Alligator mississippiensis: one gene and its partner. The protein of the gene in region 2 purifies or fractionates together with the protein of the main gene of each other region. This does not show direct contact. Links are inferred from orthologs where the notes say so. Each region holds a gene or a part of one and is shown on either strand. Other genes may lie near its edges.

What was found.
Region 1: the proteins of CDH2 (region 2) and CTNNA1 purify together in Homo sapiens (affinity purification with mass spectrometry; 4 studies listed by BioGRID and IntAct, with this or other methods). This does not show direct contact. The link is inferred for Alligator mississippiensis from reciprocal best matches to the Homo sapiens genes CDH2 and CTNNA1.

Annotation. Positions count from the first base shown.
Region 1 is NC_081832.1:45,891,960-45,899,482, forward strand, and holds the start of CTNNA1 (catenin alpha-1), read right to left. Parts: upstream 3,011-7,523; 5' UTR 2,926-3,010; intron 1-2,925. UniProt on the Homo sapiens protein: Associates with the cytoplasmic domain of a variety of cadherins. The association of catenins to cadherins produces a complex which is linked to the actin filament network, and which seems to be of primary importance for cadherins cell-adhesion properties.
Region 2 is NC_081826.1:83,733,198-83,740,560, reverse strand, and holds the start of CDH2 (cadherin-2), read right to left. Parts: upstream 3,008-7,363; 5' UTR 2,775-3,007; coding exon 2,718-2,774; intron 1-2,717. UniProt on the Homo sapiens protein: Calcium-dependent cell adhesion protein; preferentially mediates homotypic cell-cell adhesion by dimerization with a CDH2 chain from another cell. Cadherins may thus contribute to the sorting of heterogeneous cell types.

The DNA of each region.
Region 1 (7,523 bases), on a different chromosome or scaffold from region 2:
GCAAGTGTGCTGCATGTTCAGCTGCATGTACAACCCAGCACCTCTCCTATGCCAGCCAGGTGGACCTGCAGCCTAGGTCCTGCCCTCTGGTGCCCCCAGGCTCTGTCCATTACAGCTCCAGGTCTGGAGTTCAAAGGTATAACTCAGGGCTGAAACTGGCATGACAGTTCTAGATCCCAGCAATGACCTGAAACTACACATAGGAAGTCCAGGTGCTACACTGGAAGCAAACATTTGGGGATGTGCAGAGCCAGAAGCGTGCCCCCAACAATGGCCAGAAAGGGTAAATATTATGCTAATAATATATGTTTATATTATAATACATATTATAACAGTGTTCCTCAACTGGGGTATTGTGGCACTATAGGATGCTGCAAGAACCTCCCACGGGTACTACAACACTGACAGTGACTTGGGATGAAATTGCCCCATGCACCTGTTGTCTAGGAGGCATCTCAGAGCTAAACTGAGAAGTAGCTGCAGCAGAAAGACACACTGTCTGTGTTACATAATAAAGGCAGACAGTTTCACTTGCCCCACACATCTGTTTCCAGGAGACACCATGCAGGGTCAGACTCGGAAGAGCTGCAGCAAGACCACAAGTTCCTGCCATAGCTGCTTCCCAATCTGGCTCTGCAGAGGGCATACAGCACAGTTCCACATGGCTGCAGCAGCAGTGGAGTGAATAATGATCTAATAAATTAAGACTCTATTAACAGTTATCATTACACTTATTTTAATAATTACAATATTTGTAATCCATTTGTATTTTTTTAAATTGGGTTGCCACTAAAGTTTAAAGTTTTAGAGGGCAATGAGCCTAAACAAGTCAAGCTCTATGGTGCACAAATAGATAAAAATCTCTCTCCAACGTTCTTTAAAAAGAACTATCCATAAGGAACTGCATTTGGCATCATGCTGTCCATGCACTTATCAGAAGCTTCTTAAATTTCCTCACACTTCTCTGTGTTTGCCTAGTCTAAAATAACCCATATGCAAATTCTTCTATCCCTCTGCTCATCCCCTTTCCCCAAGAAGAACTAATTATTGAGATGAGTTTCATCTATCCCCAGTTATCTTACATTTTAGTAAATATGGTAGTTCTACCTTTTCAGTTATTTTTCAAAACTTCTGGAGCAGAGATCAAAGGTTTAAAGTGGTAGGGAAAAACACACAGCATGGCTTAAAAATTAGGACTCATCTCCCTAACTAAAACATTTAAGAAAATGTCTTGCAGTTTTTATGGTCAGTGTTAAACTTTTGAAGTACGCAGAATAAACAGGCTCATTATGAACTATTTAGTTTCCCTTCTATGAACTTTGAGATGCTGTTTGATATCTGTAAATGACAATGAATTCATAAACATTTCACAGGTCTGATAAAATTAAGTGAAGGAAATGATAATTTAGACATTTTTTTTGCCTGATTCAGTTACTGAAATGCTTCCCTTGAAGCTTATGGCGAAATTGCTTTTTATAAAAACAAACAAACAAACAAAAAAACCCAAACATTGCCAGAGTCTACAAATTGAAAATTTATTTAGGTAGAATTTTAACCTGAATTGAAATTATACCCAGTGTAATTACTCCTGCTTAATTTCTCAAATTCCTTTCTTATGGAAGGAAGGGGTGCACCAATAAAGATTTTCTTGGCCGATACCCATAGCTGATTATTCATCAGGCATATCAGCCAATACTGATCCAATAACCCATTTACAGGAGCACAGCCGGGCAGCCTGGAGAGCAGCTCTGTGCAGGTAAGTTTGTGGAGGGGAAGGGCAGGGGCAGATCGAGGCCCCCACAGGGAGGGAGAGAGTGGGGCAGGGGGCGCTGCCCAACCAGGGCAGTGAATGGGACCCTGGAGCTGGGGCGGGGAGCGGGACAGAGCTGCAGGCTGTTCAATCAGGGGATCAATGTCCTAGCACTTAAAAATGGTGCTGGGGAAAGAGGGGGCGTAACAGAGGGATCCTGCGTGACCTGTTTGCTCCTTCCCAGTTTGGTGGCATTTGCCAGACATTTGAGGCTAGTGAAGAAACAGGAATCATTGGAAACAGTAAAGAAAGGCACAGCTCAGCTGCGGGAGCAAAGTGCTGAGCACATGATAGTTCAAGATGGCAATCCCCAGCACCGGTGCCAGAGCATGGCATGTGAAGGCATTTTCCCTGGCACCCCCCGCCCCGCAAGGTGGAAGGCAGAGAAGGGGCCGTGGCCCCGCTGTCACGACAAGGATCGGGCCCCTGCCACACCTTACAAGTCCCGGGCTCAGGCCTTTTTAGCACTGCCCAAAAAGCTGCCGACAATGTAGGTGAGGAGGTTTCCTTGCATGCAAGGGGCTTTCTTCCTCACGCTGATTATGGGGGAAACACCCCTCGGGGGAGGGGCTGGGGAAGGGCGGCTCCGAAGTCCGTGCAGTCGCGCAGGGAGCCGGAGGACGCGTCACAGTCCGCGCGGGGGGGGGGCGGGGAAGGGGCCGCCCGGGCGGGGGGGGTGGGGTGGGGTGGGGTGGGGTGGGGGGGCATCGCCGCGGGGAACGGCAGTGACGTCAGCGCCGCCCCACCCCCGCGCCTCCCGCCGCTTGCGGGGGGGGGGGGGGCCGCCCGGCCCCTCTCGCGGCCGACCCAAGCAACGCCCGCACCCCCTTGGCCCGGCCCGGGGCCTCGGCAGCCACAGGGCAGCAGCGGGCGCGGCCATTGTTCTCCGCGTCCGGCGGCGCCGGCCCCGCCCGCCTGCCCGGGACAGCCGGGCCCCCCGGGTCTCCCGCCGCGCCCGCTCGGCACTTTGCAAACTTTGGGAGCGGGTCCCGAGCGCCCCGGCCCCGGCCCGGCCCGGCCCAGCGGAGGGGACCTGCCGAGGAGGGGGCGCACGGGGCGGGGGCGGCAGCAGGAAAAGTTTCTAAGAGGCGGAACCGGGCCGGGCCGGGAGTTACCTGCGGTCGGTGCGGTGCGCGGTCCGCGCTGTCCGTCCGTGCGTCTGTCCCGGCGCCGCTTTGTCCGCCCGCCGCGCCCGTCCCAAGCCAGAGGGGAGGAAGCGGGCTCTTCCGGGCACCTCCCCCCGCGGCCCGGCCGGCTGTTCCCAGCACCGCCCCGCCGGCCCCTGGCTCTTCCCCGCACCGCCCCCCGCACAGGTGAGGGCGGGGCGGGGCGGGTCCCGTCCCGCAGGTCCCGGCGGCGGCGGGCTCGGACTCCAGCTCGCGCCCCGACGCTTCTCGGCAGGCGGGACTGGACGGGACTGGACTGGACGGGACCGGCCGGCGCGGGGCTCCTCTGCTCCTGCGAAGCGGTGGCTCTGGGCAGACGGCGCTGACAACAGCGAGCCGGCTACCCGGGACTCGAGTCCTGCAGTAACCGGGCCCGTGTCAGTGGCACCACAGAGTGAACCGCAACCTTACCACCCCAGCTCAGTTGTCCTGTTCACCTTGTGGCTGGTTCCCGTTGGGCCCTAAACCGCCCATGTGGCCCAGCTCAATGGCCCTCCTCAGCAGGCCTGCTTACCTGGCGGGGGAAACACCTGGGTCAGGTCGGTGAAGGCAGTTTCCCCCAAGCGCTCGGGGGGATAACTTGTTGTGGTGTGGTTTAGTACCCTCCGAGGTGCTGGGGCTTAAAGACCAGTTTATGGAAATGGGAGGCTCCTCCCTAGCTTGCTCCTGCAGATGCATGGCTGAGGGCAGGCAAAATTTGGGGACATCCTAACCCCGTGCCTCCAGGCTTGGGCCTGCACATAGGATGCCTGCCAAACAACTCTGGAAATATCTGAAGCCCCAGATGGGGGTGGAGGATGTTTGCTAGTCGCAGGGCCACTTATGGTTCTGGACCAACTCATGGATTTGGACTTGATTTGGCTGGAACACAACAAATTTCTTAAAAAAAAAAAAAAAAAAGCCTTGGAAGCCCTCAACTCCTGTGCGCTCAGGAGGCCGGGAGTGCTGCTCAGCTGCCTGCCACGCCCAGCTCAGACACATCGCAGCTAAGGGCAACGTGTCCCTGAGGCAGGGAACCAGGGCAGATCAGCTGCCACTCCCAGCCGCAGGGTGCACAGGAGCCCCGGACTCCAGCGCGCTCCAGGGGCTGGGAGCAGGGATGAGCTGACTGGCCTCTTACTTGCCAGGATCATGATCCCATGCCACCCTTGAACCAGCAATATGGCGCAATGGGGATCTGATCCCACAATCATGGCCCCTGCCACATACATACAGCATGGCCAGAAAGAAGCACAGTTATTGGGATCGTGCATCAGCTCCCATGACACCTTTAATTGAATGTTTGCTAGGGGCTTTAGTTAATCTTTTGACAACCCTGGACCGACACTTGAAAGGTTTATGAAGTCTGATATGAGGCTGGTCTGTGCATTTTACATTGTGTAACAAAAGTTGTGTCTTTCTGTTCTAGTGCAGGTTTCACAGAAAAGCAGAGCTAGAAAGGACCTCACAAGGTCATCCTGGACCAAAAGGAATCTCATGACGTTCAAGAAGGACAAGTACAAAGTCCTGCACTTAGGACAGAACAAACCCATGCCCTGGTACAGGCTGGGGGCTCACTGGCTGGGCAGCAGCTCTGCAGAGAAGGACCTGGGGGTTACAGTGGACAGTAAGCTGAAGATGAGCCAACAGTGTGCCCTTGTTGCCAAGAAGATTAATGGCATCCTAGGCTGCATTGGTAGGTGTGTTGTCTGTAGGCATAGGCAATGCATAGCGGGGCACAGGGAGCTACATGCCCCCCTGAGATTGGCCACTGCCAAAGCCTCCACTGGCTTCTGCAGATGGTCACTGCCCTCCACTGCCGATGCAGCAGCTATGGGTGGTCGCTGCTTGCCACCCTGCCCCCGACACTGCCAGCGGCAGCTGCAGGTGGTCCCTGCTCACCACCATGGAGGCCCCCCCCCCAGTTATGGGAGGCACCAGTCATTCATGCCAGTAGCTCAGGGGAAGCAATTATTCCCCTCTATTCAGTACTGTGTCCAGTTTGGCCCCCACCCCTCCAGAAAGGATATGGACAAATTAGAGAGTCCAGAGGACAACAAAAATGATTCGGGGGCAGGGGGACATGATTTATGAGGAAAGGCTGAGGGAACTGGGCTTATTTAGTCTGAAGAAGAAAAGATTGAGGGGGTAGAATTTAATAGCAGCCTTCAACTACCTGAAGGGGGTTTCCAAAGAGGATGGAGCTAGACTATTTTCAGTGGTGGCAGATAACAGAACAAGAAGCAACAGTCTCAAGTTGCAACAAGGGAAGTTTAGGTTAGATATGAGAAAAAACCTCTCAGTAGGAGGGTTGCCCAGGTTACCCAGAGAGGTTGCAAAACCTCCATCCTCAGAGGTTTGTAAGACTTGGATAGACAAGGCCTTGGCTGGGATGATAATGGGGGCTGGTCCTGCTTTGAGCAGGGAGATGGACTACATGACCTCCTGAGGTCCTTTTCAGCCCTAGTTTTCTATGATCTAGTCCAGCTCCCTTCTAGAGACAGGATCATCCCTTACTAAACCTTCCCAGCCAAGTGTCTGTCAAAACTGCTTTTGAGCATTTCCAAGAATGGCATTTTCAAGGATGGGGATTCCATAACTTCTCTAAGTAGACCCTTCCAATGCTTGACCACCCTTATAATAATAAAGTTCCTCCTTGTAGCAAGTCTGGCTGCCTCTTTCCCACTCCAGCACCTTGGGGTGCCCCCACCCTTTTTTCCTTGCTAGCCATGCCTTGATAGAATTCTTATGGAGTTTAGGGAGGCTGCCCCAGGGTCCCAGAGCCAGCCCTCAGTTCACTTTAGTTTTGCCTTTGGGCACTCAGTTGTGGCCCTCATGGCCCTGTTAGTGCCTCAGGGCACCAGTTGCCTTATGGGTGGTATACATGGCCTCCATCCACACCTATGCTTCACAGGTAGTATTTGGTATTACTTTGGAGGGGCCCCCTGGTCCCAATGCAGCACTTGGCCCTATCAGGCCTCAAGCCTCTGTTGGGGCTTCAATCTTACCAGCTTCAGCCCCTTTTCTTCTGGCTGTGCTCCTTTAGTCTAGGTCCGCTGCCTCAGACTTCAGCTCAGCTCCTGGCTCCAGTCTCGCTCTTCTCAGGCTCCAGACATCTGGCTGCAGTCTCACCCTGCTCATCCCCCCTGGGGTCCATGACCCTTGTGGGGTTCTATACAGGGTGCCTCTCAGGTGCCCCTGTGGCCTCCATACCACCCCAAAAGCTATGATCTAGTCCTCCACTATCAAACTTAAAATGTAACACAAATATAAAGCAAATCACTTCCAAATTAAAGTTCCGCCTTACTCTGGGCAAGTGCCACACTACAAACCATGCTTCTTCCATTAGTTTTTTCCTTCTAGCTTTACTAGGCGTCTTGGGTGCTTGCTAACTTGTTTTCCCAGAACTCCTTTCCTAGCAGCCTACAGGGTTAGACTTTCAGCTTCAGCTCAAGCATTGATCTTATGTGCTCCAAAGCCCCACCCCTTCCTGTCAGGTGGCTTTCCAGCCACACACAGGGATTTCTGCTTTGGCTTGATGGCCTTCTGCCCTTCTCTCTTATAGCTTAGCTCAACTGCTAGCAGTCTTTACTTCTGCTCTATCCGGGGGCTGCCCTTTGGTATGGATTGCAGTGCAGCTAACTCCCCACAGCAAGCTTAACCTGCTATGCTTTCCCTTTCAAGTAATAGGAGCCTCTGACTCCTTGTTATACTTCTAATCCCCAACCTAAATTTCCTCTGCTGCAGATTGAGGCCACTGCTCCTAGTCCTGTCCCCAGCAGCCAAAGAGAAAAACCTATCTCCATCTTCTCTGCAATTACTGTTCAAGTATTTGAAGATTGTTATCATAGGGTTACCATGTGTCTAGGTTTTCCTGCACCTGTCCTCTTTTTGGATCCTCTGATCTCTGTCCAGGCAGTTTTTAAAAATATGATCAAATGTCCAGGATTTTGATCTGCTCAGCATCAATATTTCTCTCAGCACTACCCAGCTTCCCCTAGCCAGGAGCTGGGTGGGGCTGGGCGGAGCAAGGGAAGAGCCATTGGAGGCAGAGGGCCACCGTGTGCATGTGTGCGTGCACACACACGTGGCTGGCATGCAGCCTGGCAGGGTGCTGAGAGCAGCCCTGGCAGCTGGTTGCAGGTAAGTCTATGGGGGGCGGGGGTTGAAGGGCCAGGGCTTGAGGACTGTTCAGGGGTGTGTGTCAGTGGTGTGTGGAGGAGATGAATGTGTGTGTGTGGGGGGGGGGGGGGGGGGGTTGCCTGCCAGCACTAGGGGAAGGGGTCTAGGTGCTGGTGCTGCAGCAGGGCACAGGCGGCAGGGAGAAAGCATCTGCCCTCCAGTGGGGGAAGGGAGCAGGAGAGCCCTTCAGGGGCAGCAGGGAGCTGCATGGCCAGGCTGGTGCCCTTGCTCTCAGGGGTGGGGCGACCAATAGATGCTGCAGGGCTGGGGGGAAGCAGGGGGCTGTGGGTTGGGAGTGAGGGGCACTGGCAGGGCTGGGGGGGGGGCTGTGGCTTGGAAGTGAAGGGCACCAGAGCGTGCAGAGGACTCTGGGTCGGGAGTGCGGG
Region 2 (7,363 bases):
AACTAACATAATAGTTTTCTAGAACTACACACAAAAAGTTTTTAAAATCCTAAGTTATTATGCAAAAACATGCCTTTATTTTTTTTCTGCAAACTTGCCATTTAAGAGCAATGTGTCAAAAAGAAAAATTTTCTTTTTTATCTACAAAACCAGAGTTGAGGTTGTATTGATGATGTCACTGTCACCTAGACTAAACAAGTATAGGTTGCATTATAGGTTTTAGAAGCATCACTAACTGCTGCAGAAGAAAATAAAATCTTTAAATGAGCTCCTAGCAGGCAAACAGTTTTCTACATAACGTTTAAAATGTATATGTTACTAAATAATCAGCCAGTCTAAGAATATTGGAAGTCCACCTACATATTCTGTTTCTGAGCTTATGTTCCACCAAGTCCATTTAATTCACTTACCACCAGCTCAAATAATAATAATAAAAAAAGAATAGTGATTACTGAAGTTACACCTGCCCTTGAATCCTCAAAACTGATTTCTTTGATTACACAATCACATTCACCATATCCTCAATTTATTTTCAATGCAGCACTTTTTATCTGTACCGTAACACCAAAGTACTGGTGCCTGAAGACCTTCACAACAAAAAACCCAAAAGCTGGGGTATACTTAACACCACCTCATCCATGTGCCTGGTTAATACTGACCTACAGAATCCACAAGTAGGCGTAGCAGGGTAGAGCCATTCAAAAGGAATTCAATCGCTGGGTTCTTTACTGAGGCAGCTAATAGTGATGCCACTTATTGTAGCCATTTTTCAAGAATAAATTTACTAGGAACAAGACCAACAGAGTCTTCAGGCAGTAATAACTTTCATTCTGTCATCTAAAGCTGAATTCAAACCAGTGACCTGGACCTTAGAGGAACTATAGCCCATTATTACTTATCTCCCCATTTCTACCATGTCTATCACCGTGATGTTCACATGTCATTGCCACAGTCATAATAAGCTTTAACATATCAAAAACTACTGTTTCCTGAGCATAAAATTGCTATATTTCTCCCCATGAACATCTGAACACCAGCTTCACTCTTGTCAACAGCACGGCTCTCGCTTTATTGCTTGAATACTGTGCACTTGGTTATTTCTTAAATTTCTCGATTTCTACTTTACTCTTGTGCTTATCACCAATTTCAGCAGAAAAAATAATAATTCATGTTTCTGACAGTAAAGCAAGGGTGTGCCCGCCTCCCTTTTATCCTCATTCTTTTTTTGTCTCCTGTGAGGCTTTTGCATAACAACCAGACCCACTGACAGAGCTTACAGAACAATTAATCAGGAAAGACAAAGGGCCAGTTTCTAATCTCAAAGGCTGAAAAAACAAGTTTAAACTCTATCCCAAATCCCACTTTTCCGATCATAAACCAAACCTCTAAGAGGACCAACACCTATTCAGTTCTGATTATTTTTTGAGCAAGTCAATCACAACTGCTTCACTACCCCGCCAATGAAGAAGTCATCAATAACTTGCAGAAATAATGCGTGTCATCTTTGTGACAAGGGTTTGAAATGGCAAAATAAGCAAGTTAAGAATAAATGCAAGTCTTAAGCATTTCAGACTTCTCTCTTAGAAATTAACTCCTCTTAACCAAGAGCACCAAGTCCAATAATGGAAAAAAAAAGTTAATAATGCATCTAACTTGTAAGGTTTTGTTAGCACTGCACATGACAAGGACAGCACCATTAAAAATGAAAAGGTGGCATACAGGCACAGGTTTATCAAACTGATTTCATACTAAAGCTCCAATTTTGTGACACTAGCAAAACTGCATCCTAACCTGATTCAACTGATCTTCAAACAAGGGAGAAATTGGATTCCCCAATCAGAATATGCCACTAACAAGGATGGCTACACAAAAAAGCATTAAAGCTAGTTCCTGTCCTTCATTCATATATAGTTTGGGCTTTCATTTAAAGCCAGCCCTGGGCAAAGAGATGGTGGAATAACACAGACCCCCGCTTTAAAGCTGGCAGGTGCAGAAGCAGAAAGGGAGGCAGGTCCGCTCCAGTGCCACACAAAGACTCGCCTAAAGAAACGGCAGGTGGGGATGGGCCAAGTTAAGAGCATAAGAAAATCCCCCCTGCTACAACCCTTGCCCACCAGCCCAAGAAACAACCTGGCCTTTTGAAGTGACCCAGGAAAACAAGTTTCCACAGAGGGCGGCAGGTTTGCCAGAGGAGCAGCACTGGTGCCCAGTCGCACGGAGCAGACGAGCCCAGCTCCTCTTAAGCCAGAAAGAAATCCCCCAGCTGTGAGGGATCAATGTTTCAGCACCTCATTTGCCCGCTGCCGCCAGCAAACCCTGGCGGGGAGGGGACACACAATTGCCTGGGGAGTGGGCAGAGGGAGAGAGGGGACGTCGGAGGCAGGGGTGGGCAGCGAAAGGCACAGGCAGGGAGGGGAGCCAGGCTCTGCACCATGGACAGTGACTCTGCTTCTGCCGCTGCCGCACCAGCCCTGAAGGAGCCCGGGGAGGCCAGGCTCGCCGCCTGCCCCAGCCCGAGCAGGGACCCCCACGGGGAGCTGCCCACCCGTCCTCCCCCGCCCCACGCAGCATTCCCTTTAGGGGGGCACCAAGCGCTCAACTCCGCAGCCCTGCCCTGCGCCCGCCGCGGCGGGACACGAGCTGCCCGTGCACCTGCTCCCCCTGCCGCGAGCCGGGGAACAAAGAGCCGCAGCCCCCGTCCCCGTCCCCGTGCCTACCTGCTGCAGGGCCGCGAGCAGCAGCAGCAGCAGCGGCGGCGGCAGGAGCCGGCACATGGAGGCGAGAGGGCGGCGAGAGTCCCGGGCTGCGCTCGGCGGAAGCCCCCCGGGTCCCGCGGCCGGATCGGGATCGGGCTGGGCTAGGCTCTCCGCGGATAAAAGGCGAAGCCGGCGCCGGGATGCGCGGGGACAGGCAGCTCCTCTCAGCAAGGAGCCGCCCAGGTGCCGGCGCGGCGCCCCCAGCCCTGCTGCATGCTGGCAGCCGGTGCCTCCTCCTCGTCCTCCTCCTCCGCCCCCGCCTCCACCTCCTCCTTTCTCCCTCCGCCGCCTCCCCGCCTTGCACGGAGCGCGGGGACAACAATGCCGAGCAGTCCCTGCCTGCGTGTGTGTGTGAATGTGCGTGCTCGGCTCTGCGCTGCGCCGCCCCTCCCCCGCCCCTCCCTCCTGCCGCGCGGCCAATGGCGGGGCTGCCCGGCCCGGACACACAGCAGCCCACCCGCGGGCGCCTGGCATGGTGCTGCAGCCCGGGGGGAGCTGGGCGGGGTGCAGGGCGACAAACCCCGCCACAACCGCGGGCATTGCAACCGGAGCCCCGCGCTGGTGCATCGTGCATGGAGCCACCTGCGGGGAGGGAGCCGGGCCTCGCCATTGCCGTTGCGGGGGGGCTCCGCTGCTGCTCCACACGATGGCGGAGGCCGAGGAGCTGGGGGATGAGGCGGCATTTGCAAGATTGGCGAGGAGGGTCTCCGTGTCCCCCCGCACGCAGGTTGCGGAGCGAAGTTGTCCGCCCGCCCGCAGCGCCCAGCCCGGGACAGCGGGAAGGGACGCGCGTGGACATCCTCTTCCCCCCCCCCCCCCCGCACGCAGGCTCCGGCGTTTGCCGATTCAAAATGGTGCATTGTTGATTTTTGTCAACGTCTCCTTTTACACTTGAATTTGCAAAAGGGGGGGAGAAAAGAAAACGCGCCAGGCTCCGGCTGGGTTTTTTGTTGTTGCTGTTGTTGTTGCTGGTTGAGAAGCGAGCATGCTGGATGCCGAGCGGGGGGGGGGGGCTCCGGGGCTGCGAAGGGAGGGGAGAAAGCCATCTACTTCGTGCAGCGCTGATTGCACGGGCGGCCGCGACCAGGTGGCTGCTGCTGCTCCCCGCTCCTCCCTCGGCCGCTCCCTGCAGCCTTTGCACGGGACCCCAGGGCGCCCCCCTGGTGCCGAGGGCTGTGGCCGCTCGGCCAGGCTCTGCCGCTGCGCCTTTGCAAGAAGGGTGCTCGGTTGTTTGGCGAAAAGGGAGTTATCCCCCCCTCCCGCGCCACAAGCCCAGGGGAGCCTTAAAGCGTCTTTTCTTCACGAAAGAAGAACCACCCCCATGGGTTGCAAAACTGTACAGCTGAAAAGGTTGCTGCTGGCCCTCGCTCCATATTTGTGCCAGCAGCTATGAGCACAGTTGGGGGAACTATGAGTGAAGGGGGCAGTGGTAATGAATTTCTGGGCACTAAGCTACAACTGCACTGCTGCAGCAGGGGGGGGAGGATAAGCCTCCTTTAATTTTCACTTGAATTCACATGCTCTTCATCCAGTTTTCACCCCAACCCCTGTGTTAAGTTGTTGCATTTTAAAGAATGCAGCCGGGATAAACCTAAACCTTCAAGTGCCAAGAGATATTTGCCTTGTAAGTAGATATGATTGTTAAGTGTTTAATTCTTTTATTATGCTGAAACCGTCTGCTTTCATTCATCCAAAGCTTTATGTGCTTTATAAAATGCAAGACAGACTATACCAAGAAATCTAGATGCATAAATACCGTGTGTGTGTGTGTGTGTGTGTGTTAATGTCCAATGCAAGTTATTACCCAGCAGCTAATTAGGCTCAGCCCCTCAGCCAGTCCATTCCCCCTCAGGTCTGGAAGAGAGAGGCTATAAAGCTTGTCTGGAAGGTTACCAGATCTAAGCTCTGGCTGACAGTTTTCATGGTGCTGCTGCTTCCATTAAATTACTTAACAGAAATAGTAACACTAACATAAAAATTGCTTTCCCAACACCTTCCTACTGAATCTTTTAGTCTTCAACAAGCTACTGTCAAATTTACATCATGATTTTAACCAAGAACAGATTGTGGCTCTTTTTCCCCCCAGTGTAAAACTACCATTAGGAGGCACGCAGGGCAATGCAAACACGTTTTTCCAAACCAACCATCTATAACTGCTCATACTCACCTTTTATTCTTGCTATTTTAGAAAATTAATATTATGCATAAGAAAGGTACTACCTAAAGATACATATAAAATTATAGAACATGGTTACCTGCAGTAGTGCAGGGCAAGACTCAGTAACATAAAATAGTCTCTCCAGTCTTGTATTGTCGTATATCCAATCCTGAAAGAGTTGATCTTCTTGTTTCATGACAGAATTGGTAACAGTAGAGTAAGTTTTCCTGAATCACTCTATCTACCTCAGCAATAATCTAGAGTAGACACCTCTATCAAGAAAAGAGCTACTACAACACAACTGGTCTTGTTAAAACTGAAATAAGTACTAGTGAATTTTTTCATCCTGTTTTTTTGTTAAATGGATATAGGACCTGGAGAAAGACCACTGACCCTTTTCATGTAGAACATGCAAGAGCTAGAACACAGTGGCAATATCTGGCCTAGACCAAACTGGTTGACCAAGAGTTCAAAAGGTTCTCCTGTACCTGTAAATGGAAATAGAAATATGTTGTAGCTAAGAAAACTCACGGGCTTCAGTAAAATCCCTGTTAAGATTACGTGACTGAAGTTTGGAGAGAGTTTTGATGATTTTCCTGCCTCTAAAGGAGTCAGCCTCTTTGGATTCCATTAAAAACATGTCCAAGTTGACTTTTATCCCTGGAATTCATAAATGTTTAAGCCAAGTGATCGTTTTGATTTTGGATTGATTTTGCTGCAGGAATTTTGAAAACTGCTTTTCGTGGATGACGATATCATTACATTCCACTTGCAAGGCACCCCTCCTTCCCCTCACCGCCCTCTTACTACTATTACTGTCCTTGTTTCACATTTATGTAAATTGAACCTCTTGCTGTCCGTTTTGGGTCCAATCCTGCAAATTCACAAAACTACTTTAACCAATAATATAGTTCTAAATTCAACAAAAGTACTTGCACTCATATTACCCATGTTTATAAATGTATGCAGAAATAAGGCCACTTTCCATTTTTAGTAAAAAAAACCTATACAAATAAAAAACCATGAACATAGTATCTAGTGTGCTTTTGTTGACTAAGTCTTACTGTTGCTTCATTGGTTACAAGAAATGACTTGCGTTTACCTAACTAAAAGTAGATTTCCCTAGTTCTTCACCTGCCCTTTCTAGGAAGGCATATAACCCTCTTATGGAACTTTAGCATTAAACAAAGATTTTAGCAGTAGGTCTTCACTGAGATTAGAGTAGGCCAGACAGCTGTGGTAACTAATTAAGTTTACATGGGTTATGAGTACTGTGGCAAAGTTTAGTGCCCAGGACAAAGCCTGCACCAGCAGCCCACCCTCGCCCTGCGCATAGAGCTAGGGGGCCACTCACCGCTCCCCCACCGCATGCTTGCCGGGGAGCTGCCCCCCCCCCTCCTAAATAAGCTGCTCATGGCTCAATCCTGTGCCCCACCCCAGCTGGGCAGCAGCTGTTGGCACCCCTTCACTTCAGCACCCGGGGCGGTTGCCCCACTTGCCCCCCCTTGCTATGGCACTGTGGGTTATCCTATAATACAAATAATAAAACCATGAAATAGAATATGGCCAAAGAGGAAGAAGATGGATATTACAGCATCCATTGAGGAAGAAATCAAAACAGCACAAAGTTGTGAGATATTTGCAAGAATTTCAGAGTTCAGTCTAATTCAAATGTAAGTGTTAATACTACTGTTTTTTCACAGCTATAAAAAGTGACCCTTTATATATCTCTTTTTTGATTTGGTTGGTTTTTTCAGAATGTAAACTAACGATTGTTGCCCAACTGAAAACAACTAATTAAGGGTCCAAGCATTGTCTCCTGTGGGGAAAAAAAAATGCAGCAGGGGGAAGAGAAAGAAGGTTGGGAATTTAGTAATCTTGACTAGGTAGAGTTTTCTAATCTATTAAAGGAGTCAGGTACTCTCCAGAGCTCCTTGGCACCTCTCAGCTGTCCTTGTGAACTGTATATCCATACTTTGTCTCTCCTCACTCCCACCCCCCCAAACACACAAGGTGCACACATTTCTCTTCTATTTATAAGAAGATGGGGGGGGGGAGTAGTGGGGGCTGAAAGTGCAGCAAATCAGTAGCATGCCCAACTCAGATTTATTATTTAAAAACAAAACAGGGACAGAATATATTAATCTGGTTAGGGTGGGAGAAAGCTGCTTGGGAGACTTTTGTACTCTCCAGCCTGTGTTTGCAACTCCTCGTTACGGTTCACATCTTCATGTTAGACAGAGTATTAGATATTAGGAAAGGACTATTGTCTGTTCTTATACCAGTATCTCATTCTGGCAACATTGCGACCTCTTAGCTGAAAAGCAGAGCATGCTGGTGCATCTCAAGTCAGCTACCCAGCAGAAGGGGAAAAAAGAGAAATCAATGTTGCCAAATCTAAGAGTAGTGCAGGATCATTGATCTGGGAATGTGCAAGCTTGGTTTCAAG